Linked DNA regions of Daphnia pulex. The protein of the gene in region 2 purifies or fractionates together with the protein of the main gene of each other region. This does not show direct contact. Links are inferred from orthologs where the notes say so. Each region holds a gene or a part of one and is shown on either strand. Other genes may lie near its edges. The genes, in order: formin-binding protein 1-like and cdc42 homolog.

The links.
Region 1: the proteins of cdc42 homolog (region 2) and formin-binding protein 1-like purify together in Drosophila melanogaster (affinity purification with western blotting; 4 studies listed by BioGRID). This does not show direct contact. The link is inferred for Daphnia pulex from reciprocal best matches to the Drosophila melanogaster genes Cdc42 and Cip4.

Annotation. Positions count from the first base shown.
Region 1 is NC_060028.1:4,801,825-4,817,232, forward strand, and holds the start of formin-binding protein 1-like, read right to left. Parts: upstream 6,907-15,408; 5' UTR 6,724-6,906; coding exon 6,700-6,723; intron 5,494-6,699; exon of another isoform or gene 5,340-5,493; intron 5,214-5,339; coding exon 5,098-5,213; intron 5,022-5,097; coding exon 4,971-5,021; intron 2,092-4,970; coding exon 1,944-2,091; intron 1,124-1,943; coding exon 851-1,123; intron 473-850; coding exon 302-472; intron 208-301; coding exon 1-207. Other genes in the region: very-long-chain (3R)-3-hydroxyacyl-CoA dehydratase-like, read left to right, coding at 6,952-7,002, 7,067-7,108, 7,641-7,766, 7,899-8,015, 8,090-8,200, 8,267-8,492, 8,749-8,989, 9,056-9,178 and 1 more; huntingtin-interacting protein 1-like, read right to left, coding at 9,813-9,976, 10,049-10,278, 10,343-10,442, 10,509-10,812, 10,884-11,194, 11,287-11,373, 11,462-11,633, 11,711-11,995 and 14 more.
Region 2 is NC_060017.1:3,177,585-3,192,704, forward strand, and holds cdc42 homolog, read right to left. Parts: upstream 8,318-15,120; 5' UTR 8,163-8,317; intron 7,959-8,162; 5' UTR 7,940-7,958; coding exon 7,835-7,939; intron 7,773-7,834; coding exon 7,700-7,772; intron 7,619-7,699; coding exon 7,509-7,618; intron 7,450-7,508; coding exon 7,252-7,449; intron 7,180-7,251; coding exon 7,090-7,179; 3' UTR 6,626-7,089; downstream 1-6,625. Other genes in the region: alpha-tocopherol transfer protein-like, read left to right, coding at 2,886-2,934, 3,010-3,098, 3,164-3,314, 3,372-3,565, 3,764-3,874, 3,943-4,104; alpha-tocopherol transfer protein-like, read left to right, coding at 4,812-4,884, 4,943-5,031, 5,101-5,251, 5,317-5,510, 5,568-5,678, 5,768-5,932; nucleolar pre-ribosomal-associated protein 1-like, read left to right, coding at 8,926-8,955, 9,029-9,250, 9,320-9,847; histone-lysine N-methyltransferase PRDM16-like, read right to left, coding at 12,806-13,547. UniProt on the Drosophila melanogaster protein: Regulates mbt kinase activity and is also required to recruit mbt to adherens junctions. Together with mbt and Frl, regulates photoreceptor cell morphogenesis. Together with Frl, has a role in the neuronal development of mushroom bodies.

The DNA.
Region 1 (15,408 bases), on a different chromosome or scaffold from region 2:
GGCGGTTAACGTGCCACCTTTCGATTCGGACTTGAGGATGCCACTCGAGGTCAAGCTGATGGTCGAATGAATGGCGCCACTGCCGCCACCATTGCTCGACGAGTCCGAGCCGACGCTGCCGCTTCGCATATTACTCAGGTCTTCGAAAGGCACGTCTTCCGGTGGCGAAAACCCGGATTTGTACCGTTCAATAACCAGCCGCGAGTCCTGACCATAAAAATGACCAAAAAATATCAAACATAAAAAATCAACAAACAAAAAAGGGGGCGTAAATAAAATAAAAATCAAACAATCAGGTCACCTTTTCCGGATCGACGTTGTCGGCGGCTCGGACAATTCCGTCCAAACATTTATTAATTATGGGAAAGACACTGCGCTCTATATCCACACCTTTCCTTATGAAATTCTCGACCTGTTTAATTCTTTTGTCGTCTAACTCCTGAAGGGTGTGGAATACACCTGGAAGGGCCGTCTGCAAAAAGAAAAAAAGGAAAAAAAAACGTCAACATTATTTCGATCAATAAATTAGAAACGCACTAAAAAGCACAGGCCAGATTTTTTTTTCTTTTTAAACTATTATTACGTACACGCCATGTTGACGTTAATGCAACATCTGCCGAGACAGCTCCTCCCAACCACAGCGAGGGAGCACAAATAATGACAGCATCACAATCATTTTAGCGCACTTATTACCATCCGGGATGGTCCCGAAACCTCGTTGGCTGATAATCAGGACAAGCTCGCCAAAAACGGTTTGACGTTTTTCCTTATTTTAGTCTTATTTCATTTTTTGTTTTTGTTTTTTGTTTAAAAAAGATGAAAAACAAAAAGCCGTTGGTTTCCCACGCACCTGATAATGACACGTCTGAAGCTCGTTGGCTTTCTGGAGTTGCTTGGCGTACTCGTTTTTGTTGTCATCGCACTGGTGACTTTTGATGGACGAGTTGATGCGCTGCTTTTCGACGTCGGCCCGCGAGAGGTTCAGATCGGCATCGGCTTTGCGGTACGCGTCCTCGGCCCGCTCCGCTTCCCGGAAAGCTTTTTCGTAGTTTTTCTGCGCTCGATCCAGCGCCGACAACTGCTGGTTCAACGAAGACTGCAATTTCGCACCTTCCTGTAGGGCCTATCAAACAATTCAAAAATAATCAAATCAAATCAAATCAAATAATGAAGTCATCATGAAACAAATTATGCGCCGCAAACCGATGAAGCCCATCCACAACTTTCATTCAATTGAAAAAATAAGAACCTAATTTCAAAAAGGAGATGGAAAGTAAAACGTCGAGTCTCAAGGTTGCCATCGAATTTTGAAAGTGTGACACACCCTTAGGCTATTATTACCCAAACAAAAGTCTGTTGGCTGTTCAGCTTCTTTCCATTTTGGACGTTGGTATTAAAGTAATGGATATATATCTGTTTGATATTAATTTATTTCTCTTTGTTTGCGTTACGTGGGGAGGAGAGAAAAAAGAAAAAAATTGGCTGCAACGCCAAAGGCCAAAAGCTACTGCTGGAAGAAGAAAAGTGGATTGAATGGGACACGCACGCCCGCACTAAAGTTGGATAACCACCACCCAACGAAAACAAGACAATGCCTTCAAACCGCTTGATGATAATCACAACTTTCCAAGTCTACATGCCCTTGAAGCACAACGTGTATGTGTGTGTGTGTTTGTTTCAAGTTGCGGCTATCCACGTTCAAGCATGAGAAGGGATACCGTCGAATTCCGTCGTTGCTACTTCCCCACTACTCGCAAGCCACTAACGAACAAACTTGTTAATAAAAACGATTTAAAAACTTGGAAACCATTTCCGCTTTTTTTGAGCCGCAGAAAAGTTTGTCTTTTTGGTTGGGGTTAATTTCAAACCGTGATGGAAGATGCTGGACCTATCCAAATGCTAGACGATTACGAAGAGAGTCATAGACAGGACGTTGAATATACCTTTTTGCGTTCTTCTTTCAAGTCTTTGACGAGAGCCACAATCTCTTTGGTGACGGCAGAGGTCAGGTTTTCGGCTACCACTTCATGTTGGCCGGCTTGATCGTTGACCTCGGTCAGGACATCACGAAAGGCTTTCTGGCACGAAAATCTGTTGATGAAAAATGGAAATTAGATCTATTATGCCACACGTTCAAATTCAAAGTCGATGCCGGGCCCGAGCTGCGGCAAAAAAAAAAAAAAAAAAGGCACAGCTGGTTCACCATGGACGTTCGGTGCGCCGCATGGGAACCCATTACGAGTCGTTCGGATACGGTGAGATGGATACGAGAAAAACACAACATGAACAAATTTCAAAATAAAAATGACGACGCACCAGACGAAAGAAAAAGCAATCGAGAGGAGAGAAGCAACAAGAGAGAGAGAAGAAAAATCTCATTCCCAGGCTCATCGTGCACACGCACGCTCGAGTCCATTACGAAAAGGAGGAAAACAAATAAAAACGCGAGATGCTCACACGGCCATATCTCTCGCCAATCGGAAATAACAAATAACTCGTTTTTCTCGTTCTCCCTCAACCCGACTGCGAAATAGGTGCAGTTTGAGTTGCAACAGCAGCAGCAGCTAATCGCACATTAGCTTGATGATGATAGGAATTAGCTGCTGGCCGTCATATTTCCCTTTAAGGATCGTTAAAGGCTAATCATCTGGGATTGTGGGTTTGTCACCTATTGGACATTCTGACGGAATGACTCAGCAGATGGTCGCCATGCCTTATTGTCGTTATCCTCCCCTGACGACCCAGAAAGAGAGAAGCTAGAGAGAAGAGCCATAGGATGTTGGTGGGTCTGATTAGATTTTCAGCGACAACTTCCCTCGAGTGCGGAGATAGCAGCCGAGGAAGCGCACGAATTGCGAATCAGATTCAACAGTATAATCTGAGAAACGCAATGGAGCGAGACGGTAGATAGGGAATTGTGGAGCAACACGACATAGCCCCCTTTTCAGTGCGTGACTGAGTAATTCTTCCTCCGACAGAGCGACAGGAAAAACAAAAAAACACACAAAAAACACGAAAAAAAAATCCAGGGGCTTCGTCTTTGCTTAACAAGATTGTCTATAGAATATCAACCCTTGAAGCAACACTAGCGCGAATAGGATTCGAAAATCTTCTGAGCTCTTTTCTAAAATAAAAATGAAATTTATTTTATTAGCCTGATTCTCTCTCTCTCTCTCTCCTTTTTGATCCATTTTGCGGCGACCTATATGGAGAAGTGAAAGGTCAACCGTCATTTGAAGGCAAAGAAAAACACACGCGCAAGTAACGAGGGATAATACAGAAGGAAGACTCTAACGCAGTCTACAATCATGGGGCCAACCCCTCCCGCCCTAAATTTCGTCTGTTTATTTGAAAAGTCTTTCTCGTTTCCGTTTTTTTAAACTTGACAAAAGTAATAACTTGAGTTTTTATCTATCCCACAAATGATTTCTTAAAAAAAAACCCATTTCAAACTCATAATGTTGTCCGTGACGATTAGTGGTTAATCTTATCTAGCCCACAGTTGAACCAGAAAAACCCATTTGATAATGTTGTCCGTGGTGATTAGTGGTTAATCTTAAAATGTTCATCTATTTGCTTGGTCGATATAAAAATTAAGAAACAATAACTGGAGAATAAGGTTCTTGGATTACAAAAGGTCGAAGTGTACAGAAAGAAAAGGTGTGAACATTGGTGACAAGTGGGTGGGCTGAGAGGATGCCCCAATATTCTACGGTTACCGTCTGAATTTTTTTCTACATAGTTCACCGAGTGTTCCCTGAAGCCAGACAAAAAAATTCACTTCAGTTGATTGGAGCTCATTTTTGGACTTCGTTCGTTATCCCCGACTAGAAAAAAAGCGTTGGGTTATGACCGGAATGGACCACCAGCCTAGTCTCACCCCTTTTCTCCCCCCAACAAAACAAAACTAAACAAACGGAGGACTAGTTTTCAAACTGTTAAAGAAACTCACTGAACCGTTATGTTTCGTGCACCTGATCAACAACTCGTTTGATACTCGTCTTCCTTGTCTCGTCTCCCATCAACCTGCATTCTTCCCAAGTCCGAGTATGTGAGTAATGAGCTGAAGGTGGAAGGAATGCTCGTGATCAAGATAAAAAATAAAAAAAAACAAATACAAAAATCCGACTCGAATGGAAACAACTACAATCATGGAATCATTTCATTTTTCCAGGAACGGAGGCGTCCTTTTCACGTTCCCAGGGTTGCAGTACTTGACGGGGAAGCTACGTTGTTTGATTGGATTGCTGTTTTACTATGCAAGGGTGGGGATGGTCGGCTGAAAAAGAAGGGGGGAGGGGGTGACGTCACCATACGATGAGTCATTGCTAGTTACAAGCCGGTAAGGAAAATAAAAAATCGATAGTTCGTATCCAAGGTTGAAGGCTGTACACAGTTGTTCCCTGGTCAGGTGAAGAACTTGCCTAGATCCGGCAGTTGGCCATTTAACAGATTTCTGAAGAAAAACAGGCAAGGTCAGCCAGTTTGTCCTCTTGTGAATATAACGGGAAGAAATATTCGAGTTTAGTGGGTCGGGCCGTTTAGGTATTCCAGCACGGATCTTTTCCTTTTATTACCAATGGGCGACGCTTTTATTGTGCAACATGGCGAGTCAGAACAGAAAGAGGGAAAAAAAATATTGCTACACAGTATGTAACACCGGCCGGCCCTGTCTGCTCAATAGATAAATTTTATGAATCTGTTCACAGTATATACTCATTGTACGGGATAGGTTACACCTCAGCACGTATGTGATATGCGTCGAGAGAATAGCCGAATCACTGAACTACAACAAGGAAATGGGTCGTTTCCCAACATCGTCTCTGAAACGATTTTAAATGATCTCTCGAATATCGCTCGAATAGCTCGAGGCGTTGAGCATACTGAAACCCAAAAGGGCATGCCAGCGGCACCTTATCCCGACTATTAATTTTATTTTATTTTTTCTTAAAGAAAAAGTTTCCACTTACTGATAGTCTTCTTCCTCCTTTTTCTTCGGCATGTACGACTTCACCAACCGCCTGGACAAACACAAAAGTTAATGAAATATATATTGATATATATAAAAAGGAAATTCAAATCGATAATTTATTATACCTCAGTTTTCCGGCGTACTCGGATTCGATTGCGCACCGATCCCGGATAAAGTTCCCATATCGCTCCAGAAAGTCAATGCCCTTTTGGGTGTGGGCAGCTACGTTGTCGTATTGGTCCTAAAACAATATCAACGACACACATATCAAAAGCCGTTATCTGATTGCACCGGTGACCGATTCGATCAGTGCATGTCGTTAATGCGACCCATCTAAGAAGTTCAACATTCAAAACGATCTTATCACCTTTGATATAAAGTCAAGAACGAAGATTGTCAATCAAATTGCAACAATGGACGAAAAAAATGGACGCCGATCACGCACGTTTCTACGAAGATGTTTAGAAGAGGGAGAAGCTTAGCCAGAAATAAAACAGGAACCTATCTTGTTACGTACAAGCAAGAGAGAGAGAGAAAGAGAGGACAGTTCAGCTCACGAATCACATGACTCAAGCTGAAGACGTCACAATCTTTGGCTGCTGCAACAGCCACCCCCTCAAACAGATTTAGAACAAGCCAGAATAGCAAAAAAGAGAAATGTGAACGAAGCGGAAGAAGATTAGAAGCACAGCTAGACGTGAGTTGGAAGATAAATTCCACGCGATGAAGACGAAATACCCGTGCAATCCGAAAAGGTAAATGAATGACAACAAAAGACTTTGTGGGATTTCAAAACAAGAAGTCATTCCAGGAATGGGGGGGAAACGATCTATTAACAGAAAATAAAATGCATTTGAACAACCGACTACGATTTGATGGAGATCCCGTCTCTCATGTCTTAAACCGGATGGCAACAAGGACACTCGGACAGAGAAAATGAATGTAGAAAATAATTATTTTAGCGAAAATATTTGATGCCAGGATATTAAAACACCAACATTCGACAAAATATAATCTACTGCGATTCATTTGATCACCGATCGATTCGACTAGTTATCGTACACAGGAAACTGACGTGTGCAACCAGAGAAATATGATTTACGTTTTTGCTTAGCAATGGACGGAAATGGACGGAAAAATCAAAATTCTAACGCGGTGTAAAAGGAAATTTAATAATAATTAAGTGCCAGAAGTTGACGGCAATCTATTGAAACATTCTCAACAGTATCCGGTGTGTCGTTCTCAAATAAAATTTCTTGTTAAAAAAAACGAAAAAAAGGACATTTGAGTTTGAACCCTGACAAATGATTCAATTGAAGAATTTTACAGAAATATTTTTCAAGAACTCTATAAAGCAGTAATATTTTCCTATCAGAAGAATTTCGTTATAATTAAGCAAGCTAAAAAATTCGTTCGAGTAACCAAATTTCAAGTCTGATTACACCATGCCAGGCTAGTTGCAACAACTCGTTCGATTGACAAACTTCAAACAAAGTAAGTATTTGTAGTAAAATGAAATGAAATTTACGCTAGGTTTCTCGACCCTATACACCAATCACATGGTGATGGCAATTGTTAGTCTTGATTGTTGTAAAAAGAAACTGAAAATAGTAGAATGCAAACGCTGTAAGCTAGGGATGGGTCGTCTTGTTGACTGCTAGGCTACTGTGGATTTGGGGTGTGTTACGATATGATTAGATTTCAGTTGAAACTGAAATACAACTTACCCAAAGTTCGATTCCCCAACTCATTTTTTTTCAGAATGCTCGTATCCGACTTATCCAATTATTTTCCAAGTTGACATTGCAGGTAAAACATTCAAAATTTCGACACGAGTTTCAAGCACACACACCAACTTAATATGCTGACCAACATACACTTCTGCTGCTAACGCCACTTCGACCAAAACTTTTCTCTTACTCATCGGCCATACCAATTCGACCTGCCGCCTGGTGAGAAAGTCGGAAGGCAATAGTCAAATGAAAAAAAGTTTTCCTGTTTACCTCAGCCATCTACCGTCAAAAGATACAGTATAACCGTATATATTTTTTTAAATCTCCTAAATTGAAATATTTTAATCCCAACTGCCTATAGCTAACAACTATACAGCTATACTTGCAATATACTTGCAATAACGTAAGTTATTCACTTCATTATATTGAGAAATCGCCGGTGACAACTGATAAGAACATCGGGCTAATCTTAGGGATAGGGAGGGAAGCAGATCTTAAAATGTCACCATAAAAAGTATGCATGTTTATTGTTTAACTACAATAAATATGCATAATAAATATTTTGCTTTAACCTTTTTTTCGCGATAACTTCAGCTTGTCAGTTTCAACGGTTTCAATATCCCCGCTCAATATCTGGCAAGTTTAGCTACGTTTAGGCTACTTGACGTTTTGGTGATATTTTTTGTTTCATTTTGTTGTTAACATTAAAATTTGTCATTTTAGTCAAATTGAAAACAGTATTTATTCCTTGTGTTTTTAGATTAAAACTTTCCTATAATACTAAGAGAAGAGTGTAAAAAGTCTCCAATTTGGCAATTTCGCTCGATCTTTGTATATCTGTCAAAAAAGACAAACACGCCAAGTCTAGCAGACTGAAACGTAGAAAAAAAAATACGTTAAATAGGATTTTTTTTACGTTACTTTACAGTTTACAGGACAGCTTTTTAACTAGTCTCTGCTCTCTGGTGGACATGACTTCCAAAGGAAATCCTCACCCATTTGTTTATTGGGCCCAAAATACTTCACACGTTTTGTTACGTGTTGATCTGAAAGACGTACAGGTAATTAATATTCTTGATTCCTTAGCTGTTTACTGCGTCTGCATGGCCACTGCGATCAAACAATGTCGACAAACCACCTTTTGTTACTATTCTTATTTTTCTTTTTGCTTTCCTTGATGCCATGGTATGAAGGAACCTGATGTACAGGTTAATGAAAACCATATAAAGTTTGTAGCAACTGGTGTGGGTGCCAGAGGAACACAACTTTATGAGTTTGAATTGGAATTAGGGGCTAATATAGTCCCTGTGGTATGGAAGCTATTATTATTTTTTATTTAACTGCACATTATTCTAGCTTTAATTTGATCTTGTTATCATCCTAGTCTAGTCAGTATAGAGTTACTGCCCGGCAGATTGATATTAGTTTGAAAAAACAGAATGATGGATGGTGGCCAAAGCTTACTGGATCTAGTTTGAAACCCACTTGGCTTAAGGTATTACTTTAAAAACAGTATTTACAACCAATGGAAATTTCTGTTAAAAAAACATTTTATTTTAAGATTGATTTTGATAAATGGAGATCTGAAGATGATGATGAAGCAGGATTGGATATTTCTTCAAGCAAGTTGGATGAGCTTGATAGTGAAAATGTTGTTGCTGATCACATGAGTTTTAATTTAGAAAACTTAAGGAAGACATACTTGTTTGTCTATAATTTATGGCAATTTGTTGGATTTACATACATATTTTCCATGCTGGTGTTCAAATATTCAACACTGGGTTATGGTAAGTTCTTTTTTTTATTTCTGTGTAGAGTGTACAGTGTTCATGGATGTATTTATGCAAATTATGCTCTTTAGTCCTTATTGTTATTTGGGAAAGTTTATCAAAAAGATCCTAGATCTAGTTTGCATGAAAAGTGTAAATAAAGTAACAAAAGAAAGAGCGCAATGTATAAATATTTCCCTTATGTACTCCACTGCACCTGCACTATCCCTTCGCGGTAAAGACAATTCAAACATTAATTCTTTTTTTCTTCTAGATTTTATACCAGTTGCATACCAATCTGTTCATTACCCTCTCAAATTTTGTCAACTCATGCAAGCATTAGAGATTTTTCATCCCTTATTTGGCTATACTAAAGGAAGTGTTATGGAGCCCACAGTGCAAGTTGGTGGAAGATCCATTATACTATTCTGCTTGATTGAAGCTGAAAGCAGAATTCAAGATAAACCAGTCATTTTCTACTTGATACTATGTTGGTCAATCATCGAGCTTTTCAGGTAATGCGTTGAAATTTTTAAATTTTGCGAGAAACTACGGATTCTGATGAAGTTATGTTGATATAGATATCCTTACTACATGATGAGAGTATACGACAAAGATTTCGGCATAATCACTTGGTTGCGATACACAGTTTGGATACCTCTTTACCCGCTTGGCTTCTTATGTGAAGGAATTGTTATATTGCGGTACGTAGCGACTTTCAAAAATTCTATGTGTTTATTCACATTGTTTTCTCAACTTTCAGAAACATTCCATTCTTCGAGGAAACCGGAAAGTTCTCCGTAGGCTTGCCGAACAAGTGGAATTTCTCATTTCATTTCCCTACATTAATGAGGATGTATCTTTTGTTTTTCTTTCTACCCGCCATGTATACCATGATGTCGTACATGTCAAAACAGCGTCAAAAGAAGCTACAAGTAAGGGGTGACTCAATCCCCTCTAGTAAAATAAAAGTTAATTAAATAATCAAGACTTTTTGTCTGTAAAAGTAAATAATCTGCAAATAAATTGTGTTGTAGTGCTTGGTATTTGAAAAGCAGAATTAATACAATTGGTAATTCATATCATTATTAACATTCCGAAATTTTGGCACAATAACAATTTAAACAGCGGAATGACATTCAAATTCTCTCCAAAATCTACTTGTCAATAAGACAATGGATTTCTTTTAAACTATAAAGATGAAAATGAAATAGGTGCTTATAATAGAAAATAAAAGAAACTTGATTTGAACTTGCAGAACGAAAATTTAAAAAAATTGCGCGTTCTTTACGTTGCAATTAAAAATGACACACCAGCTACAGCGGGTGGTTTGGAAATTTACGAATCAGTGTCACCCGCAAGTTGGTAATGCTGTCTTCTGATAGCCGACAATCGGACACGTTCTTTTTCCAGCAAAGACTCGAACTCCAAAAATTTTATCTGTGACTCCATTTCTAATCGTTTGGCTTGATGCAGTGTCAAATGTGCGAAGTCCAGAACCGCTGAATAGTAGAATAAAAATTGGTTAATTATGGCCATTTGGTATTATCACAAAATTTTTAATTAAAATTTACTCGATTCTTCGACAAGTTCTGCACAATGTTTAGCTGTCGCAACCACCCCTCCAGTAGCCAACGAAACAGCTTTAGACGATTCAGCCAATGCTTGGAGGTTTTTACTTTGTAGTTCTGCTTTAACGCGACTTGCAAACACCAGCTGAGCCGTGGAGGCGGCGATTTCTTGGGATGCCACTGTTAGTTGTTCGAATTTAGCTTGCCCTTTAACCACATTGTCTGCTGCGTCTCTGTTGAAATTATTATACTGTTTAAAAAATTACTTGAACAACCTTTTTTTTTAAATCTTCCTACGTTAACAGCTTCGCTCCGAAACCAACGGCCTTAGCTGCCGACAGCAGACCTTCAGTCCAACGATGATTTCGTTTGTAGAAATCTCTTGCAGTAGCAGATCCTGCGTACGAACAAAAATGAACGTTTAGTTTTAGAATAGCCATTTAGTGTCGTGTTCCAGTTCAACCTTTTCCACGCGCAACTATTTCTTCTTGAAGGACTTTAGCTTTTTTGATTAAATCAACGATTGCCTTCATCAATGCGGTACATGAATCCAGAACCTTTTCGCTCACTTCCAATTTAACTCCAGTGTGGGATTGTTTAGAACTATCCCATAGTTTTGCGATTCGCGCAGCTGCCTCTTCTATAGCTCGTTCCATAGCTCCTAATTCAGACTCGAGTTCTTCGCCGACGTTATGTTCAACGTTGGCTTTCAATGATTCAGTTACAGCAATAACTAGTTTATCTAAATCTCGAAGAGCATTTTCAACCTGTTTAAATCACACAAATTAATTGAATAATAATAAAAAAATACAATAGCAAAAATATCTAAAATGAGTACCAAATTTGAATTCGAATTGATTTCTTCATTCTGGAAAGGCTGCTGAAGAATTCGGAAAAATAGAATGGTTATCTTTCCTGCCGCAACACACTTCTTTAGCATCTCATCAACTTTTTCAATATCAGTTAGACTGTGGGCCAGCTGCTGTCCATGAAGCAATACAAAACCGATCGATTGGGCAAAGGGGAATATTAAGGGTACTATGCGGGATGCGACATCGTCACTTTTGTTGCTTGAACAATATGCATTCAACGACTCGGATAGCGTTTTCAACAAACATAAGGCTCCTTTAATAGTGAATCCACTATGATCTATAAGAGAAGTGAAAGGGTTTAACTTTTAAAATTACATATAGTGATTTCCAATTTGCGAAGCTATGCTGTGCAAACGGTAAAAACCTTACCTTGAAGATTTAAAGCAAGAACGGGAGGTTTTGCCAAGTCTAATACACATTTTTCCAAATATTGCTCTCCCTTTAAAGAGCAATCAACTGATCGATTTCAGACAAACATAGGAAACAAATTAAATCAATAAATATGGATGCTAATAAGTATTTTCATTAGAATTCAGTTTAGTACTTAGAAGCTGATGGAATAGATTCATCGCTTCAAGTTTGCTAGCTTCAAGCATTGATTTGTAATGAGCAGTCAATGAATCATTCTGCTGTAGCAGCTTTCGGGTTTCCTCCTGCAAATTATTTTTTTCGCCATCAATATGTTGCAATTGTTGTTCTAACTTGGCGACACTTTCCTGTCACACATAACAAGACATATTAGGCAATATAAAAACATGTCTTGCCAAATTTACCAAAGTACAACAGAACATACCTTCATTTGGGCACCATATTTTCTCAACTGTTCGCTTTCGTCGGTCAATTCCTTGATATTGTTTTCTTTTGCAATTTTGAAATTATTGAATTCTTCCTCCAACTTCTTACCACTCGCAATCGATTGCTCTAATGCTTCGTTCAACTCCAGAGACTTTTGTTTACTATGATCCAACTCGTTTTTCAACTCAATAGTAGACGTTGTTAGTATTTGTCGCTCTCCTTGAAGATCATTAATCTGTTTTGTCATGGCTTGATTATACTGTTCAAGATCTTCATACTTTTCCTAAAAACAGAAAAATAATAATTCGGCAAAATGGCCAAATATGCGAATGAAAGGAAAATCAAACATACCTTCATTTCTGTACCGTTTTTTCTTAATTGTTCTCTTTCGTCCGTTATTTCCTTGATACTGTTTTCTTTAGCAACTTTGAAATTATTGAATTCTTCCTCCAACTTCTTACCACATTCAATTGATTGCTCTAATGCTTCATTCAATTCCAGAGACTTATGTTTTCTATGATCTAACTCATTTTTCAAGTCAGTAGTAGACGTTGCTAATATTTGCCGCTCTTCTTGAAGATCATTTATTTGTTTTGTCATGGCTTGATTATGCTGTTCAAGTTCTTCATACTTTTCCTAAAAAAAAGACATAAAAATTATCAGACAAAAATTAGATAACCGACACGCGAGAGATGGTTTATCATTAGTAGCGCTTCTACAGAACAAACTTTCATTTTTAATCTAACCTGCAAGTTATTTTTAATAATCAACAAATCTTCCTTTTCTTTTGTCATCTGCTGAATTGTTACATCTTGAGCAGTTTTAAATGCAGCAAATTCTACTTCACCATTTGTTGCGCTCGCCTTTAACGTCTCAAAATTTGCATGCATCTCCTCTTGTTCTTTGGTTTTCAGTTCTAAAGTAGCGCTCAGCTGATCTACTTCTAGCAACAGTTTAGCTTTTTCCTCTTGAATTTGAACAAGCTGATCTTCCACTTCCGTAATTTTAAGTTCAGTCGCTGATATCAATGTCTAATGATAAAATAAAAAACGCACTACGGCATTAGATTACGATTCAATAAACAAGAAAGGCATATTTACATTTAATTTGTTGTTAGCCTCTTGAAGCTCAATTTTTTCATCACCAAGTAACTGGATCTTCGCAACTTCGGCTGTTTTAAGCATATTAAGCTCATTTTCTGCATCTTTCAGACTAGTCTTAGATAACTCGAGTGAATCTTGGAGTTCACACTGAATTTTGTTGCTTTGTTCGAGGGAAGTATTGGCAGCTGAAAGCTTCTTGTCTACTTCAGCTTTTTGACGCAGCAATTTGATGTGCTCATCGCGCAATTTTTGATACACATCTTTCAATTTCACAAATTTGTCTTCCCATCCTTTTGCTCTTTTTCCCATTTCCTAAATAATTTTGTTGTAAAAATATATGTATATAATATTCCTTTAACAAAGAAAATTTCTATAAATTACATCTAACTGTAATTGGACGACTGATCCCATCTGTGCCGATTGGGCTGCATCACTTAGTTTCCGTTCGATATCTTCCTTGTCCTTCAATGCTTCTTCTATTTCGTTTTCTTTTTCGGACATGCGCAATTCTAAATTAAGTATTTCTTGTCGTAGAATTCCATTCTCTTGATTATACTCGGCACGAACTTTCCTCAACTCCGCTGATAACTGTTCCAGTTGATGTAGAAGATGTTCTATATAGCGATCTCTAAGAAATATATATATAGTACATTCTCAATTTTTAAATTGATTTTTCTATAACCATAAAAAATCTGAAACCTTTCTAGCAATAAATCAGGAGAATAGTCATTTCTTTCCGGTATTTCCGATTCCAACTGAACTAGTGTTTCGTCTACCTGCGGCGGCGGAAGGGCTTCGTTTGGTAGTATTACAACTGGTGTGACGTGACGACTTAACTCGCTGGATATCAAAAAATTTGGCGGACTCTATATATTCGAAAGATGACAAGTATTTTTTTTGTTTCTTAACATTTTAAAAATGATATAAGACGTAAATGTTTCAAGACAAATTTACCTCATCCAAGTGTGGTACTTGGATTAATGTTTTGAAATATTGGAGTGTACTGGATTGTAAGTAAAACTGCCGCAAAGCCTTGAATTGCTTTAGAAATCTGATACGGTGGCCTTCCAATGTTTCGGGTGGTAGACCTAGACAATACAATTAATTAAAGCTTATACTTTTAAGCAACAATTAATGTTCGCATACAATTGTGCAGTTTAAAAAGAAGCTTCACGATGAAATCATAAACTTGGGAAGAATCTTGTATGCATGGAATAAGAGGAGCCAGCCGACATTGCCCCGCATTCGTCATAGAATTGGATCGCGACATATCCAAAGAACCAAATACTATAGGGAAAAAATATACTTTAAAAGGGGAAGTTCTTATACACATCAACAAAAGTAAGCACATAGTCATTACCAGCTGCTTGTAGGGTAAGAATCTCATCCATATAGTCCAGCAACTCAACTGATAACTGAAAACTAAGCAACATAAATATACTGAATTACGAAAACAATAAGCCTTGGGAAAATATGGATATTAACGAATTGCCAAAATTGTCTTCTTTCAAATTTTCCCTCTACTAGTACTTTTACCCTACACGAAGGATAATACAAATATTTATTACTACACAAACTTACTATAAGTTAATGTCATGTTCACAAACAACATCAATTCCCTCATCTTTGATCATCAAATTCCCCGGGAATTTTGGATTCCTTCGATGAAAGTCGAGCTTTACCACGAGAAGTCGACAGTACAAATTGATCAACTTCCCATATCCATCTTTAAGAAGTCCCTTAAATTCCACGAGAAAGAAAAACAGCATTAATAAAACTGAAATAACACATATTAGCACATTTTTATTTGGAAAACAACTGACCCATAATTTTCCCTTGTCCACTAAAAATTCTCTGTGTTGCTGTGAATCTTTCTGTAAAAATCAATGTTAATACTAACTTTTAGTTCACCAAATAATGTATACAACTTACCAGGACATTTGGATGTCCCTCACGCAAAATTTTGTGTAAAGTATGGCAGAATTTCCATGCAACAATTGGATTTGAATGAATGGGTAGTCTCAGAACAATGGACCAAAAAGTATGGCTCCCTTTCCCTTGAAATGTGCCAATAATTGCACCTTATTTGGAAAATGTCAATTAAGATATGTACAATAGTGATGACAATAATTATTATTAACTCTAAGTCTTTACTTACTGCGAACATGCTTGGATTTTACAGGTACTTCAGATTCATTCACAGCTTTACTGACAGCTAAGGTCTAGACATTACACAAATAAAATGTAATTGTATTCTGTTTATTTCAACCTGTTTTTTTTACTATATTTTTGTTTAAATTTTATTGAATTGTAGGCTACAAGCTTTCCACAAACCTGTGTTTTTTCAAAATTTTCTCTTTCCTGATCTGTAATGTTTCATGAAGACAATTTCTTAGAATTCTATGTACATACATGCAAACATAAATATTTGGTATACCTAGTGAAGTTCGAGAACGATTCGGAGGCAACGTACGACTAGCCATATTTTATTTATTTATTATTGTTACCAAACTGTCAAATCTGACGGCGACCTGCCCACGAGCCACAATCACTAGTAACTACGTATGACAATGGCGTTTCCGTCTATGACGTT
Region 2 (15,120 bases):
CTACTAAGCGGAAATAGGATTAACAAAACACAGTGTCAATCAGTTATCATTTCTTTGAATTATTGGAACTAATTTGTAAGTTATTATTTTTGTTCTTAAACTATAAAAATTATGTCTTGAGTTTCCCACAGTAGAACTCTAAAGACATAAGATCCTTTTTTTAAAAAATATTATTTAAAATACCCGACAATAGAACTCCAGTGCCCGACAATAGAACTCCACTCGATTTTTAAAACCAACGCGCAATCGAAGCGTACCGAAAAACCGTCAAAAATCAACCATTTTGTCACTTTATCAGTTGACGGTTGGTCTAGATTTAATTTTTTTTTATAAAAAAAAATATGGACGTTATTCAACCTATAAGTAAACCGAAATAGATTCGATCCAAAAATCACAATACGAAAATAAAAAAAAGTGCGGTTCTTAAATCGATGAAAAGATGCATATATTATTAGTTAGTTTTTATAGTTTAGACTGGATGGGTATATACTCATTCCGGCGGTAACTCATTCCTTATCGTTGATAACAGGTGGCTAAATTCTCTAGAATTCATTGGGGGTAAGGAAATTCACTTTGTCATTGTCTCCTCTCTTGTTTAGCCGCTGAAGAATTTAAAGTAGAAATCAATTGAAGAAATTGTGTACACAGACCTTTTCAAGAATGTCTTCATTTTTTCTCGATTTTTGAGCACTTATTGATTTTTTTAGCCCAACAGTGTCGAAATTTGGAACATTACGAACAGTAAGCATTTTTCTAATCCATATATGTTGTTGCCACCTTTTGATGCCATTGTAAGTTTCTGACAGCAGCCTGTCAGAGCGTTTTTATGTAATAGCCTTTGTATGAATCCTAAAAACTAGTGATAACTCATAACTGAAACAAACTGAAGCGAGAAAGAGTTTCGTAATCCCTAATTTAATACCCCCATATTATTCTTAAAATGACTTTTCCTGGTTTAAGAAAAAAACTAAAGTATTTTTTTATATTTTTTTATTATTATTATTTAATCCAGTTAGCGTTTTTGTCACTAGAGGACATTATTCATTAACGTGGTGTAATTTTTTTATCAACTTTAAATCTCTTCTTTATTAGGATATCATGACGGAAAGAGTGTGCTATAGTGGCCTTCTATCCCGAGTTGATAAGGTGAAACTAAGCTCTAACCACTGACATAAGACTCTCCTGTTAACTTGGCAAGCGATTGGTACACGCATTTATACAAAAGCGGTACTTTTTTCAAGTGCCAAAAGCCGCTATTTTTCCAAGCAACATTAGATTAAATTTGTTCCTTATTTTCCATAGAAGTTTTGGTATTTCGTATTTTTTTATTTATAGCTTTAATACCGCAACGGTTATACTAAATGTCTAAATCATTCTTTCTTAATTCTTAGTAAGTAATGCATTGATCATCGGCAACCAATTTCAGTCAAAAGCGTTTTGATCAAACACATTTCAATGTGCTTTTTTCCTTTTAAATAACGTTCAAGTTTCTTTTTCCTTGTGCGCGTCAACAAGATTTGGCTAGAAGAACGTAAACTTCTAGACTATTGGTTATACTGCTGTCATATTGATACTGTAATTGACCATGCGATATACGCTGACTCTCTTATTCTGATATTTGGACGAGAACGGCGATATTTTCCCAGCGTCTGTCTGCCCGAACAAAATACGTTTAAATTTTTGTGTTAAAGAGTGACGGCCACAGTCTAGAAGTAACACTAAACCTCTTGAAAAGATTCGCCAAATGCGGAACAGGAATCGTTTAAGGACATGCGATTCATTTGTGAATGAAAAAAACATATTAGTAAATAAATGAATGAATCACAGTAGCATAATAATATTAAGCTAATCCTACATTAATTTTGACAAACCGATCCGAGGAGAGAATATCCTTTATTTTCTGTATTTCTTGTTGTCCAAGTCGAAATTGGAAAACATGTTATTATGTAGTGTTACATTACATAAAAATATTGCGTATTTAGAAACGAATTTCGAATTTTCAAGAAAATGTATCAATTCCCTGCCGTGTTGGAGCCCGAAGCGAACAAATTCAAGGCCACTGAACAGAGCTAGGCGCCGTGATACGAGTCGTGGCTCTGAGCAGATTAGCAGAGAGGAGTTTATTATGATGGCGACGAAACGAGAAGCGTCAAAGAGGCGGTTCTTCTTCCGTGTGTCCAGGCGACCAAGGAGGACTCCTCAGTCCTCAAGGCTATAAAATGAAGCATTTAAAAAAAGCCTTTCAAGGGCGTAAATACTGGGGGGAAGAAAGAGCTATATATTAGGTTCGCAGTTCTTGCGTTGTAATAGTCAGTTGAAAATTAAAATCCGAGGGATAGAGAACACGAAGCGTACAGCGATTCACTGGAAATACTTAAAAGTAAGAGTGGTTTACATGTCCAATTGCGGATGCCCCATTTGAACGATCGGTGCAAGTTCACTAACCTTCACGTTTTGTTCACGTGTTACAGTACGTACTGAACTTTGAGAGCATCTATCTTCTTGCTGGTTTGTTTTTGTTCCTAATAAAATTATTTTCTAGCGTTGAAACTTGAAACACAATCCAGTGCGTGTTCGCTGTCTAGCCTATTATTGAAGACATTTTAAAAATAAACTTTTAACTCTGGGTACGATGCTGAGTTTGTGTTAAAAGATATGGCGAACAGTGAATGTTTTCTAACAAATCATGTTTGTTTTACATGTTTGGTTTGCCAATAGGGAATTACTGCCCTTTTTTCACTACACCAAACTGTTGGAATACTAATGTATTTTCTTTTTTATTGCAATTTTATTAGGTTTCAAAGGATTTCATCAAGTTAATTTTTGTCCTCGGTTGTTTGACACAACTCTGTTGCTTTCGCCGAGGCATTTGGAAATTTTAAATCATGTTTGACGAAGTAAATGGACTGATGCGCCTCCGCGCTCTCGTTGACGGTACCAAATGTTTATCAGTTAGTTCATGAACTCTTCGTGTCCCCGACTAAACCAGGATGTTATTATACGTTACAGAATCGACTTTGGAACACCCGATAAAGGAGGAGCTCCTTCTCTGCTTCCTTCGCGCGCGAAAATACAACGTAGATCGAGCCTTCAAATCTGTTAGAATTTGACTTTCTTTACAGACTGAATTCATTTTTAACTAATATTCCTTCTTGATTGACAGCTCAAGAATTATCTCAAAATGGTGAAGAACTATCCTGAACTTTTCACCAATTTGTCCGCATTCAAATTGCGTTTTCAGCTGAAGGAACAATTGCAACTCGTTTATAAATCCAGGGATAAGCAAGGCCGTCGTATCTTTATTTTCCGAGCAGGTATAACAAATCTTGACGTTTTCAATCACAAGTGTTACAAAATCTTGACTAACGTAGGGCGATGGAATCCGAAGGAATGCTCCCTAGATGACATATTCCGCTGTAACTTATTTTGCCTCCAACAGCTCGCTTCAAATCTTGACTCTCAGATAAACGGGATTGTGGCCATTGTTGATCTCGAAAACCTCGGTCTGCACCAAGCAAGGCACTTTACGCCGAGCTATGCCAAGAAAATTGCTGATTTATTAATAGTACGAATTTTCTTGACTATTTGAGAAATTTGCAAATCAAGTGAGGAATCGCTGAATTCCAATTCGTGCAGAACTACATGCTATGTAAAATTTGTCGTTTCTGAAGTCGAATTCTTGATGAGAAACGTACGAACTTGAAAAGCAGATTTGCAAATCTTTAATTATTCATTTTTGTTTTTATAATTTTTTTTATTACAGGAAACATTTCCCATAAGCTTTCAAATTATCCATATTGTTAATCAAAATTGGATTGTTCACACCCTTATGTCCATTATTTGGCCTTTCCTGTCAGCTAAAATCCAAAAACGGGTAATATCGGTTTTATTGCGGTCTAAATCTTTTATTTACATTTTTTTTTACATTTTCTTTAAATAAAGATGCTATATCACGGATCTTGCTGGGCTTCCTTGCACGAATACGTAGACGTTGCGGATTTGCCAGAAGATTACGGCGGTTTTCGAGAGCGGCTGGATTGCTCAAAACTGCCTGACACAAAAGTCTCCATTGAAGAAACTTGCAATTTATTCAACTTGAACTAACACTGTGATTTAAATCTTCCATAAAAGTCAAATATCCCCCCCCCCCCTCCTTTTTTTATTGAAAATGTAAACTGAATTGATGTAAGCAAATAAACGAATGGGTCTTGAAACTTATTAAAATAAGGCAGCGTAAGCAACTTTTGAAGACCGCATATTATATTTTAAAAAGGCACGAGTTTTGACATTTCCTTCATTTAACAGCAGCATGTATAAAGGTCAAACGAAAGAGCATACACGCGCTGCATGTGTACTCTATGTAGATCAACCCTCTCCAGAGATAGACAGCCGGTTGCTCGAAATTATTTGGGTCAGTTATTGCCAAAGACCCGGATCAGTTTTTTTTTCCACAATACATTAACTGAAGATATCACTCGTAGTTCATTAGTCAATCGACAGCAGTCCTTATACTCCGACCTGCTACTGTCCGACAGTCAAACAGTTCAGAAAATCGTAAGTGAGAAAATATTGATGCTTTTTTATTTTGAAATAAGCGCGCTAAGTTAAAAAGTTAATTTTGAAATTTAATTTAGTAGTAAACTCTTTTTCATTTAATTAACTGCCAAAATTGTGTGACTTTATTACTCAATATCTTCCGCCTGCAGTAAATCCCACCCGCAAACACCGGTAGTCTGACTATATTCGTGCGTGCCTGCATTAAAACAACAATTTCCGTGTGATAGGTGATCGATCTGCAACTAATAACAAAAATGAGCAACATAAATGAAAATAAAATGGAAAACAACAATGAGCTCTTACTCAAATTCGGCTCACTCATCAAGGGTAAATTCGTTTGTAATAAGTTGCTTCGTTTTCTTCACTAATTCTCTGCTTTCCACAGAATCCGACATTAATTTCCAGATACCTGATGAACTGATGCTGTGTTTTATTTATGCGCGCAAACGCGACGTGCAACGCGCCATGAAGTTGGTAAAAAATTCTAAATGATGACACTATCCTCCAATGAATTTAAAATTAACTATTTCATTTGCTAAAAAGTTAAAGAATTATTTGAGAGTGATGAAAAACTATCCGGAGCTTTTTACTGATTTGCGGAGTGAACGCGTGAAACACGTTTTAGATTTAGGCCATCTTCTAGCGTCTCCCATTCGCGATCAAAACGGATCCCGTGTCTTCATAATAAATGCCCGTAAATTCCACCAAGAATGTCTTCGTTTTAACTATGAAAGTTAAGAGAGTAACTTTACTTTGTAGGTAATTGGGATGTTCGTCGTTGCAGTTTAGAGGACGTCTACAGTGCTGTTGTGTTCTGTTTTCAAATGATGGTGTCTGAAATTGAAACTCAGTCAAAAGGAGTAGTGGGCATCATGGATTTCCAAGATTTCGCACTTCACCAGATAAGACACTTCACGCCATCTTTCCTTAAGAAAGTGGCCGATCTCATACAGGTAGATCCCCAGCCCTATATATAATATTCAAAATAATGTCTGTCAATAATATTGTAGGACGTGTTTCCCATTCGTTTGAAAGGAATTCATATCGTTAATGAACCTCGGATCATGAAGATTCTTGTGGCTATGATATGGCCTTTCTTATCAAACAAAATTCGTAATCGGGTTAGTTGTTTTTGTATGCACTTGTAGTTATCACCTTTCACTGTTGTAGACTATGCATCTAATGTCAGTTATTTGATTTTATCCCGAAGCTGTTTTTCCATGGTTCGTGCTTCAAAACATTGCATCACCACGTTGATCCCTCTTGTCTACCAAGCAATTACGATGGTTGTTTGGGGCCGATGAGTTCTATGCATTTCTCCAGCGTATTCTTTGAAGAGGATTACTACTCCAACATATTCGAATGTTTAAATTAAAAATAAGCTTGCTGCTTAATACGTATCAAATTCTATGAAAAAAGTAAAATTAATATATTTGGTTAAAATCACGGATTTATAATCTAAATTTTTATGCTTGCCTTGATTGATGATGATCATATCTTTTGTTGCTAAAAATTGTTGCTAAATAAATATAAATCACAATTATTTTCAACGGATTTTCCGATGTCTTTATAAATTCCGAGAAGAATTTGCATAAAAATTCAGCCGGTTATTGAAAAAAATTTACTTAAGTTGTAATATACAGTAAAAATAAAAACCTTTGGGGAGAGTAGTTAAAAAAAAATTCATTTCGCTGTCGCTGAACGACAGCTTATCAAAAACATGTGATAAAGTTCTATATTAGTTCATACCAACCAGGACTTTTAAAATTGAACTCGTTTTTCGTTTGTAGTAGATTAAAAACTGCTGATACACAAATAAATGACGTCAATGAGCAAATGAGTTGCTAACCAACCGGCAAAACTATTTATCAATGTATGATATGCGCAAGTGCCATACGCAATCTTACTTTCACATCTGTTCCAGCGATCCTAAGCGTCAAAAGTCAAATTCAATCAAATGTTTTACTTATATTAATAAAAATAGTAGCAGATTAGCCATAACATTGCGACGACGCAATCGTCCAATGTAGCGACAATTCTGAACTGACCAGCATTAATAACTGCAAGGTATAAGAGAAAATTTTATTGTATATTCTCTCCTATGCCATACAGACAAGTTTTGCGATGAGGATTACAATGATGAGGCCAAAGTTCTTTTGTTATGCTTACTTCTTTTTTTATGAACAAAGAAAGAGAGGAGAAAGGAAGGAGAGCAACAGAACAGGTATGTGTTATTTCCTAGATCGAGAAGGTAGAGGATGAATGAAAAGAAGATTGGAAGAGCGCGGCAAATGGCCTGCGAAACACGCGCACGCACACACAAAATAATCGAAACGATAATGACACGTTGAAACTGGTTAATGCAAGAACTGGCAAAAAGAACGTATCATCAGTATTTTGCTTTTCCATCTTCTCGTTGAATAATTCCATTGGTTAGTAGCAAGGTGTCATTTAAGAGTGTTTTTTTTTAGCTCTCCTTATTTTATATAAAGGAAATTTTATTTTGCCTGTTTTGCTGTCAATTTGTCTTGCTCACAGAATATTACACCTCCTCTTTTTGATAGGCTCAGGAGGTTCCAGTGCTGCCAAAATGGCTTCGTCAAAGACGTTCTTCAACCCTTTCTGCGAGAGACATAATCCAACAACCATGTTACCTATTTGCGACTATGGAGAAACAGAATTTGCTCGACTTACCTGAGTGAGGGCAGAGCACTCCACGTATTTCACTGCTTTCAGTTCGCGAGCTAGCTTCTCTCCCTGGTCGATAGTGATCACTCTTTGCTTATTTTTTGCCAACTTCTCTACAGTTGCCGCGTCGTCTCGCAGATCGATCTGCGTTCCAACTAACAAGAAAGGTGTCTTCTGACAGTGGTGTGTAATTTCAGGAACCCACTACAAAACAGGAGTGCATTAGTTTGCAGTTTTTTAATGATTGAGCTACTAATATTAACCTTTTCTTTGACATTTTCAAATGACGACGGTGAGACAACAGAAAAACACACCAAGAACACATCAGTCTGTGGATAACTAAGTGGTCTTAATCTGTCATAATCTTCTTGACCTGTTGTCATAAAATTAAGGAAATATTGTTAAGTAACAATGAAAAAAAATATATATAAATGAAGTAGAAAGGAATTCACACCTGCTGTATCAAACAACCCAAGAGTGTAAGGTTCACCTCCAATCATAACAGTGACAGCATAATTGTCAAATACCTAAAAAATGTCAAATAGCTGTTAGAAATAACATCTTGAGAGAGTATCACATGATAGCTTACTGTTGGAACATATTCTGACGGGAACTTGTTGGTGGTGTAAGAAATCAGAAGACAAGTTTTACCCACTGCACCATCCCCCACAACAACACACTTGATGGTCTGCATTGCTCCTTCCTGTCAGACTCTAAAATGAAAGGGAATAGATAACATTAATGAAATGGCTTACACAAAATTAGCAGATCACAACGAGATAAGCGGGCGAAACGAAACTATTCGACAGCCATTTTGATAGATAGGACGCTGGGCGAAAACACACACATAAAAGTGGAGTAAGACTTTGGTTTAAACCGGTCAATGAATAGAACCTCAAATCACTTTATTCACTTACGATCAATATCTTGAAATGTAGTATCAGCACAATTTGCTGAAAAATATTTAATATCCAAAAAAAAGCGGTTGTGGAAGTGACACTTGGAGAATATCAAGGCGTGAACGTCCCTGGTGCAACGTTGCCACTTGTCAGAAAATATTTCAGGACGCCACCGCTTCAACCGCAAGCAGAGCTATAGATACCTGGTCAGTTCATGGCTGTGTTGGCTTCCCTATCCCGGTTTCAGGGTAAACGTAAGCCGATTTTCAGGGGGTTTTAGGGCGGAGCCTGTCAGAAGTTGTGAAGTGGAAACTTTAAAAAGAGCCATCTAGTGATAAGACGTTGAGTTTCAAATAATACTTTCGGCGGCCATTTTTGTGTATTACGTGAAAGAAGCCTAACCATAATTTATGTAAAAATGGTTGGCAGGTGTGCTGTTCCTGGTTGTAAATCAACATATTACAAAGGAAATCAAAAAGAAAATGAGGTTACCCTGTTTGCAATTCCTAAAACTTCATTATCAAAATGGCAAGAAGTAATTCCATGTAGTAATTTGACGAGCACCTCACATATTTGCTCCCGTCATTTTAACGAAAGTGACTTTCAAACAGGGATTGAAATTTTGAACGTGTTCCATCCTTACAAACGGTGGACTCTTAATGCTGGAGCAATGCCCTGGAAACCAAAATTTTCTGTTAAATGTTAAAACCACCAAAGCTGTCCAATCATTGCATTATTTCTTGCCAAAGCTGCAGCCATCGTTCAAGATCCTTCTCACCCAATGTACCGTGCAATCAATAACTTTCTACTGGTATGTTCCTGTTAATTGATTGCAATTTCCTTCTCGTTTAAAACTTAAACGCCATTCCTTTCATTGTTTCTAGGTAAAATCGGCTATGGATGTTACCCAAGTTCCAGAATTTTTCGTCATGCTTCATAACACTGAACTACCTGAACAGAGGTCGCTTCAAAGGAGTTTTTTACTCAGCCTTCTTCAAGATGGCATCAAAAGTCGTCAGGACTATTTAGTGTGTGCTCGAAGAAGAGTCTTTCCAATCCTTCTCTCCTTGCAGCCATCCAATCTATTGTCCGACAAAACTGATAAGGTTATTTTTTTAGTAATTGAATTTTAGTTTGAGATTTCATCGAGACATTTTTCTTTGTTTGATTTACAGCGGCTCATACTTGAAGTCGTACAATCTTCACTTCAGAATTCAATCATTACCTATGACTTGATTCAACATCGTGGCCTTATCATGTGGCTTGACAGCCTCTTGCTGACCGACACCGTTGCAGATGAAGCTAGTCAGATGGTGTCGGTGGTGACGACAATGTGGGACACGCTCTACACTCACATGCTGAAGAAGGGAGAGTCGAAAGAAAAGGACGACGAAGAAGCTATTGCAAAACTTGAACAGGAGGTCGAAATGATGGAAGCCGAAGACGAAGATACCGCCGACAAAACCACTAACAAACCCAAGATGCAGAATGCTAAAATCAGTAGCAGAAAACCTATTTGGAATTTACTTCCTATGCAGCAACAAGTTATTGCTCCCTGGATCATGTGTGAGCTAATGCAGTTGATGGTCAATTTGTGGCATGTACTCTATGAAGCTGAGCCAAACTATGCTACGTTTAACAAATACGCCCGAGTATTATGCTCCGTCGCTTCACACATTCACGAATCCAAAAGCATCATTTAAGCAGCTCAGGAGAAGGATTTGAAGACCGTCCGGTTTGTTACCCCTCCCTGCATGCTGAATGTTAAATTGATGCGACAGCTCGTTGAAGTCTCATCCCGCTTTGTGAGTAATCTTCCCAATCTAAAGGATCATTTGGCAGTAGTTGAAAGTTCCAAAAAGAAATCCTCGGCTTGCCCAACAGAACTTAGTCGAAACTGGGAACGAAGACACAGGTATATGCGAGAACTTATGGACCAAGAAGAGACGAATGTTTCAACCAGATATAATGTGCACAAATTATTGTCTTTAGCTGAATGTGGTGTTTGAAATAACAATGACAATTTTGTTTGCATACAAGGAGAACCTCGTGATACGATTTCTTTTATTTTTCATATCCACTACAGCATATCTTTGCCATTTGATGTACATATTTCTTTCCCACTATAACGCAGCCAACTTAAAATTTCTAGACGGGTTGTTTAAGGAGAGTGGTGTAACGTTCAATCTTTGATGCCAAACTCATGTCGATGTAGCGATCTCCAAGGACAACTACAAGTCCTCAACAATGGAGGGATCCACCTTGGTTGAAATCTTGAGAGACTGTCCTTTCTGCAAGAATCCAGAAAGAGCGGCAGTAACCTCTTTCAATGTAGCAGCATCCAAGGCCTTGATATAAGAATAGATTTTTTTAAACATTTAATTGTTTAATGTTTTTTAGATTTATATTTTACCTCGGCTGAGGTGGCCTCACATACAACTTCACCTCTGAATGCAGCTATCATGTTAAAGAAATGGCCAGTGACAACATCCAATTTGTTAAGTCTTCCATTCTCAGCAAGGAGTTCTGTAATCATAAACATATGAATAACAATTAGAATAAAGTGAAAACCAATAGAAAAGAAAAACTTACCAAGGAAGTTGCCTGTAACAGCACTCATTTTCAATTTCTTGGCAACTGAAATAAGAGCATCTTTCTTAAGTGATCTCTTCAAAGTGGGGTTGGCAATGAATTCTGCCAAACGAGAATCTTTGGCGATAGTTGCATGAAAGTCCTTCAACTCGCTCTCAACTTTGTCCAAAGATTTCTGTTTGGAAGCAGCAGAGTAGAGTGCTGAGGCATAGCGACCTTACAACCCAAAAACTTGGACTGGAGCCTATAACAATTACACAATTAGGTTAAATGTACCTGTACCACACTCACATGATTTACCTTCACCAACTGCTGGGATGATGAACTGGTGCTGAAGTTACGAGCCTAATAGTTGGAAAGTAAAAACATTCATTGAAAATAGTACAACATTTTATAAATTACGGCAAATTAATTTAGGATTGTGCGAAAACAACCGGCTATTCAAAATCGAATATAAATTCGGCTTGAAACTTAGAGGTTTGACAGTTGGATATTTCTACCTTTTTATTATTGTTCACTTCTTGTAGAAAAGTAAGCTGTGATTGGCCAATGAGTTTTTCATAGACCCTTCCTGATTGGCTGGCTTCACGTAGTAGCTGACACACTCACTAGAGGCGCTTTTTAAAGTTTCCAAATCGGCTTACGTTTACCCTGAAACCGGGATAGGGAAGCCAACACAGCCATGAACTGACCAGGTGTCTATAGCTCTGACCGCAAGCGACAAGCCACAAAAAAAAAACATGGGAAAAATGCGACTATGCGAGCGTGTGTGACCATCTGAGACCACCAATTTCATTAAATTGAATCGTTTATCGCCGTTTTCTTTTTTCCCTTACAACTTTTTGATCAAATATCAATTGTCTCGAATTTGTGGCTTCAAGCATTTTTAAATCGTATTCGAAAGAGCAGGTATATTTGTTTTCGCTTTTTATTGTTTGTAAAATTTTCTTTTTTTAAATCATTTTTTATTCCGAATTTATGGGAAGAACGTACTAAGATGGTGTCCGGGTGTTGTTGCAATTATGAGTCATCTTAAGGTTACGGTTCAGTTTGCGAAACTTTGATGAAATAGAAATACCGGAGACATTTTGTTTTATTTATTTTTTTGTATTCTAATTTCAGGAATCCTGTTTTATTTTAAAGAAAAAAAATAATGAATAGCAGTAAACCATATTTTCCCAGCTGCCTGTATATTTTCTATTAAAAATACACTCTGAATTATTTCAACACTATTTTGTACCTCATTTGCAGAATTTTTACCGGATGGTGCAGGGAAAAGTGCTGATTGATAAACCATAAAAAAAAAACATTCAGAACAAACTATTTTAAATTTTTCGAATAAATCAAAACAAAAAAAAATCATTTCCATTTACGTTTTTCTTGTAAATTTGTAGGTAGCAGTAATTTGTTTGAAAACCCACCAATTAAAAAAAAATGAACGACAATTCGGGAGGGGAAAAAAACAGAGATGAGAAAAGAGGTCATCGGGGGTGAACACAATGAGATGGGGGATTATCATTCTTCTACTAATTAATTATAAAATCTCAAATTACGTTCAATTCATTGGCTACGGTCCATGTGTGTCGCTGATAGGCGACGATCCGTGCAAGTGTCACCGAGTGAAGATACAGTCCAAGGGTCTCTACCGGACCAATAGCGTCGAAATCAAATTGGGTGCACCAGTGCTTGCTATCCAAATAGGAACAAATCGTGTTTCACGTGTGTTTGTGTCGGATCATCATGCTGACGTGTCAGTGATGTCTCTTGGGTGTGTGTGTACTTGCGTGTGTCTGTGTGTGTATTGCTGGACGGGAAAACAAACAAAAAAAAAAAAAAATGGAAGAGAGAAACTGCACTAAATTAATAGAAGAGAAAGTTAAAACAAAAAACCGGGCCGTAGATTGGGAGTGAAGAAACAAACCAAAAAAAAATCAAAAATCAAATAAAGGGAGGGGTCGGTTGATTCGTGATCAGCCTATTCAACTATCTAGCAATATTATGTCTGATGACTTTTTTACGTAACAGAGAGCAGCAGTTCACAGTCATCAGTCATATATTCAAACGGAAATTCAACTGGACGGGGTGACGACGATAATAGCGGCAGAGTTTGGCGACAAAGTCGGTGACTTGTTGTCCGTGTGGATGGTCACCTCGCATGAGAGAACTCCAGCGTTGCCTTCGCTGCTGGGCGCCCCGGCGCTGCTATTGCTGGCGCCGCTGCTGCTGTGGCTGCCGGCCTCGCTGGCCGCATCAGCCTCGTCTTTGACCGAGCTCTCCGCAAGCTCCTCATCAGCGATGGTTTCTTTCGAGTTGGCGAGATCGTCTTCCTCCTCAGCTTCCTCTGGACTGGATTCGATGGCGCTTTCTTCTTCGTCGTCTTCCTCGATTTCGTGGTGTCGGGCTTTCTTATTCATTGGCGACTCGTCGTGGTCGGAAGAGCTGCTGCCGGACGGCGATTGGGCCGGCGAGTGGACGGGAGATTGAGCCCCCATCATGCCCAGGCGGCTGTTGAGAATCGGCGAAATGTTGTGGTGCAAATCCGGGATGGCCGCCCGTCGGTGCTGCTGCTGCTGCTGCTGGTGATGATGCTGGGCGGCGGCGACGGCGGCCAAGTCGGCGTAATAAAATCCTGCGGCCGGCGGCCTCAAGAGTTGGACGCCAGATGGCCTGGCGCCGGCTGCGGCCGTCATTCCGGCCGCACGACTTCGCTTACGATCTTCGTCCAGAATGGTGGGCCCGTCCGATTCGTGCTTCTTCAAATGTCGGTCCAAATTGGTTTGTTGCCCGAAACAGCGGTCGCACAGCGGACACCTGCCGTCAGAGAAACGAAATAGACGATGAGTCAAGGTGAATGAGAATATAGACGAGAACATGCCAACAACATTTCCTGTCGATATCATTTCACCCTTTCAAGGCAATGTTACAGAAGAGAGAAAACCAAAACAAAAAACAACATGCGCAGAATAATAAAGAGCGTGATAATAAAGTGTGATATTATTTTTATTTGACAGAACAGCGAGTTTGATAGCGATGTATATTGTATACGCAATGTCGAGGAGTGATGTATATAGCGTTGGGATAGCGGAGAGGACCCGCATGACGACATCATTGAACCGCAAATAAATAACCAAAAAGAGTTGAGAAATCAAATAGGAAAAGAGAAAAAAGAAGGGGCGCTGAAAGGAGGAGTATTTCGAATGAGTATGGCGAATAGTCGCGACAGACAAGGACACGGGCGATGTGCTCGATGGCCGTGATCGCTCACGTTCGACGGTGGCGGATCAGCCGCAGCCAGGAATGACGACTGCTGGCTGACCAGAGAGAGCGGAACGGCCCGTTCAAATAAGTCGAATTGCGCGCGACAAGCACTTTCCATTCAGCGCTATGCGATCTATCGATTGACTTCTTTCTTCTTCTTCTTCTTCTTCGACTTTTTATTGTTTCGAAGCCATTTTTTCTTTGTCTTCCTTCTCTCGAGTTATCGGCCTATCTTGTATATATACCTCCCTTTCCTTTTTTTCTTTTATTTCTATATTCTATCTGATTTCGACATTCCCAAAATTGCCACCTACCACCCAAAGCGATGAGAGCTCCGACGAAGCATGACCGCGCCGATTTTCGGTGTTTTGTTTCTTTTCTATTTCGTTTCCTTTTTCTTTTTATGTGTATCTGCTGTCTGACGCTGTTTGGTTATATGGCGAACGTACACATAGAATCTCGATCAGCAATTCAAGTAGGTCAGTATGCAGCATGATCCTATTCGACTACGAAACGTAAAAAAATAAAAGAAAAGAAGAAAAAAGAATCGTTGCGCAGCTTTTGCCTTGGTCTTCAGGGCGGTTCCTATACGCTGGCGTGTCGTGATCACACACCCTTCGCTACATCTGCCTTGTATACGTATAGATATACGTTTTTTTTATTATTATTCATTTATATTTTTTTTTTTGCTAACCAATCCAGTTCGCTCCTCTTTTGGTCACGCGTTCAAAATACTTTTTCTTCTTCATCTTCTTCTTCCTCTTCTCTTTTTTTTTCGAAATTTTTGCCCCTTTTGTTCGCTCTCTACTCATATTTAAAATTCAGATTTTCTGTGTCTGGTTTTATTTTTTTGAAAATGCGCTCAAGTTTTCCTGGCCGCCAGTGACCTGTATTTGTTGCTGGCCACTGGACACAGCAGATTGATGGTAAGCCATCCCTCTCGTCTAATCAGCTACAATAAGAAAGTATAAACACCTTCTTCATATTGTGTGTGTTTGCACACGTACATGACCATTCACGGGTCCTAACGGTGACATCATTCAGCGCAAACGCTCCGTGTCGATTTGCCTCACCACTCCCAAAACCCCCATTTCCAATCCCGCTTTGCAACCAGGTATATCAATCA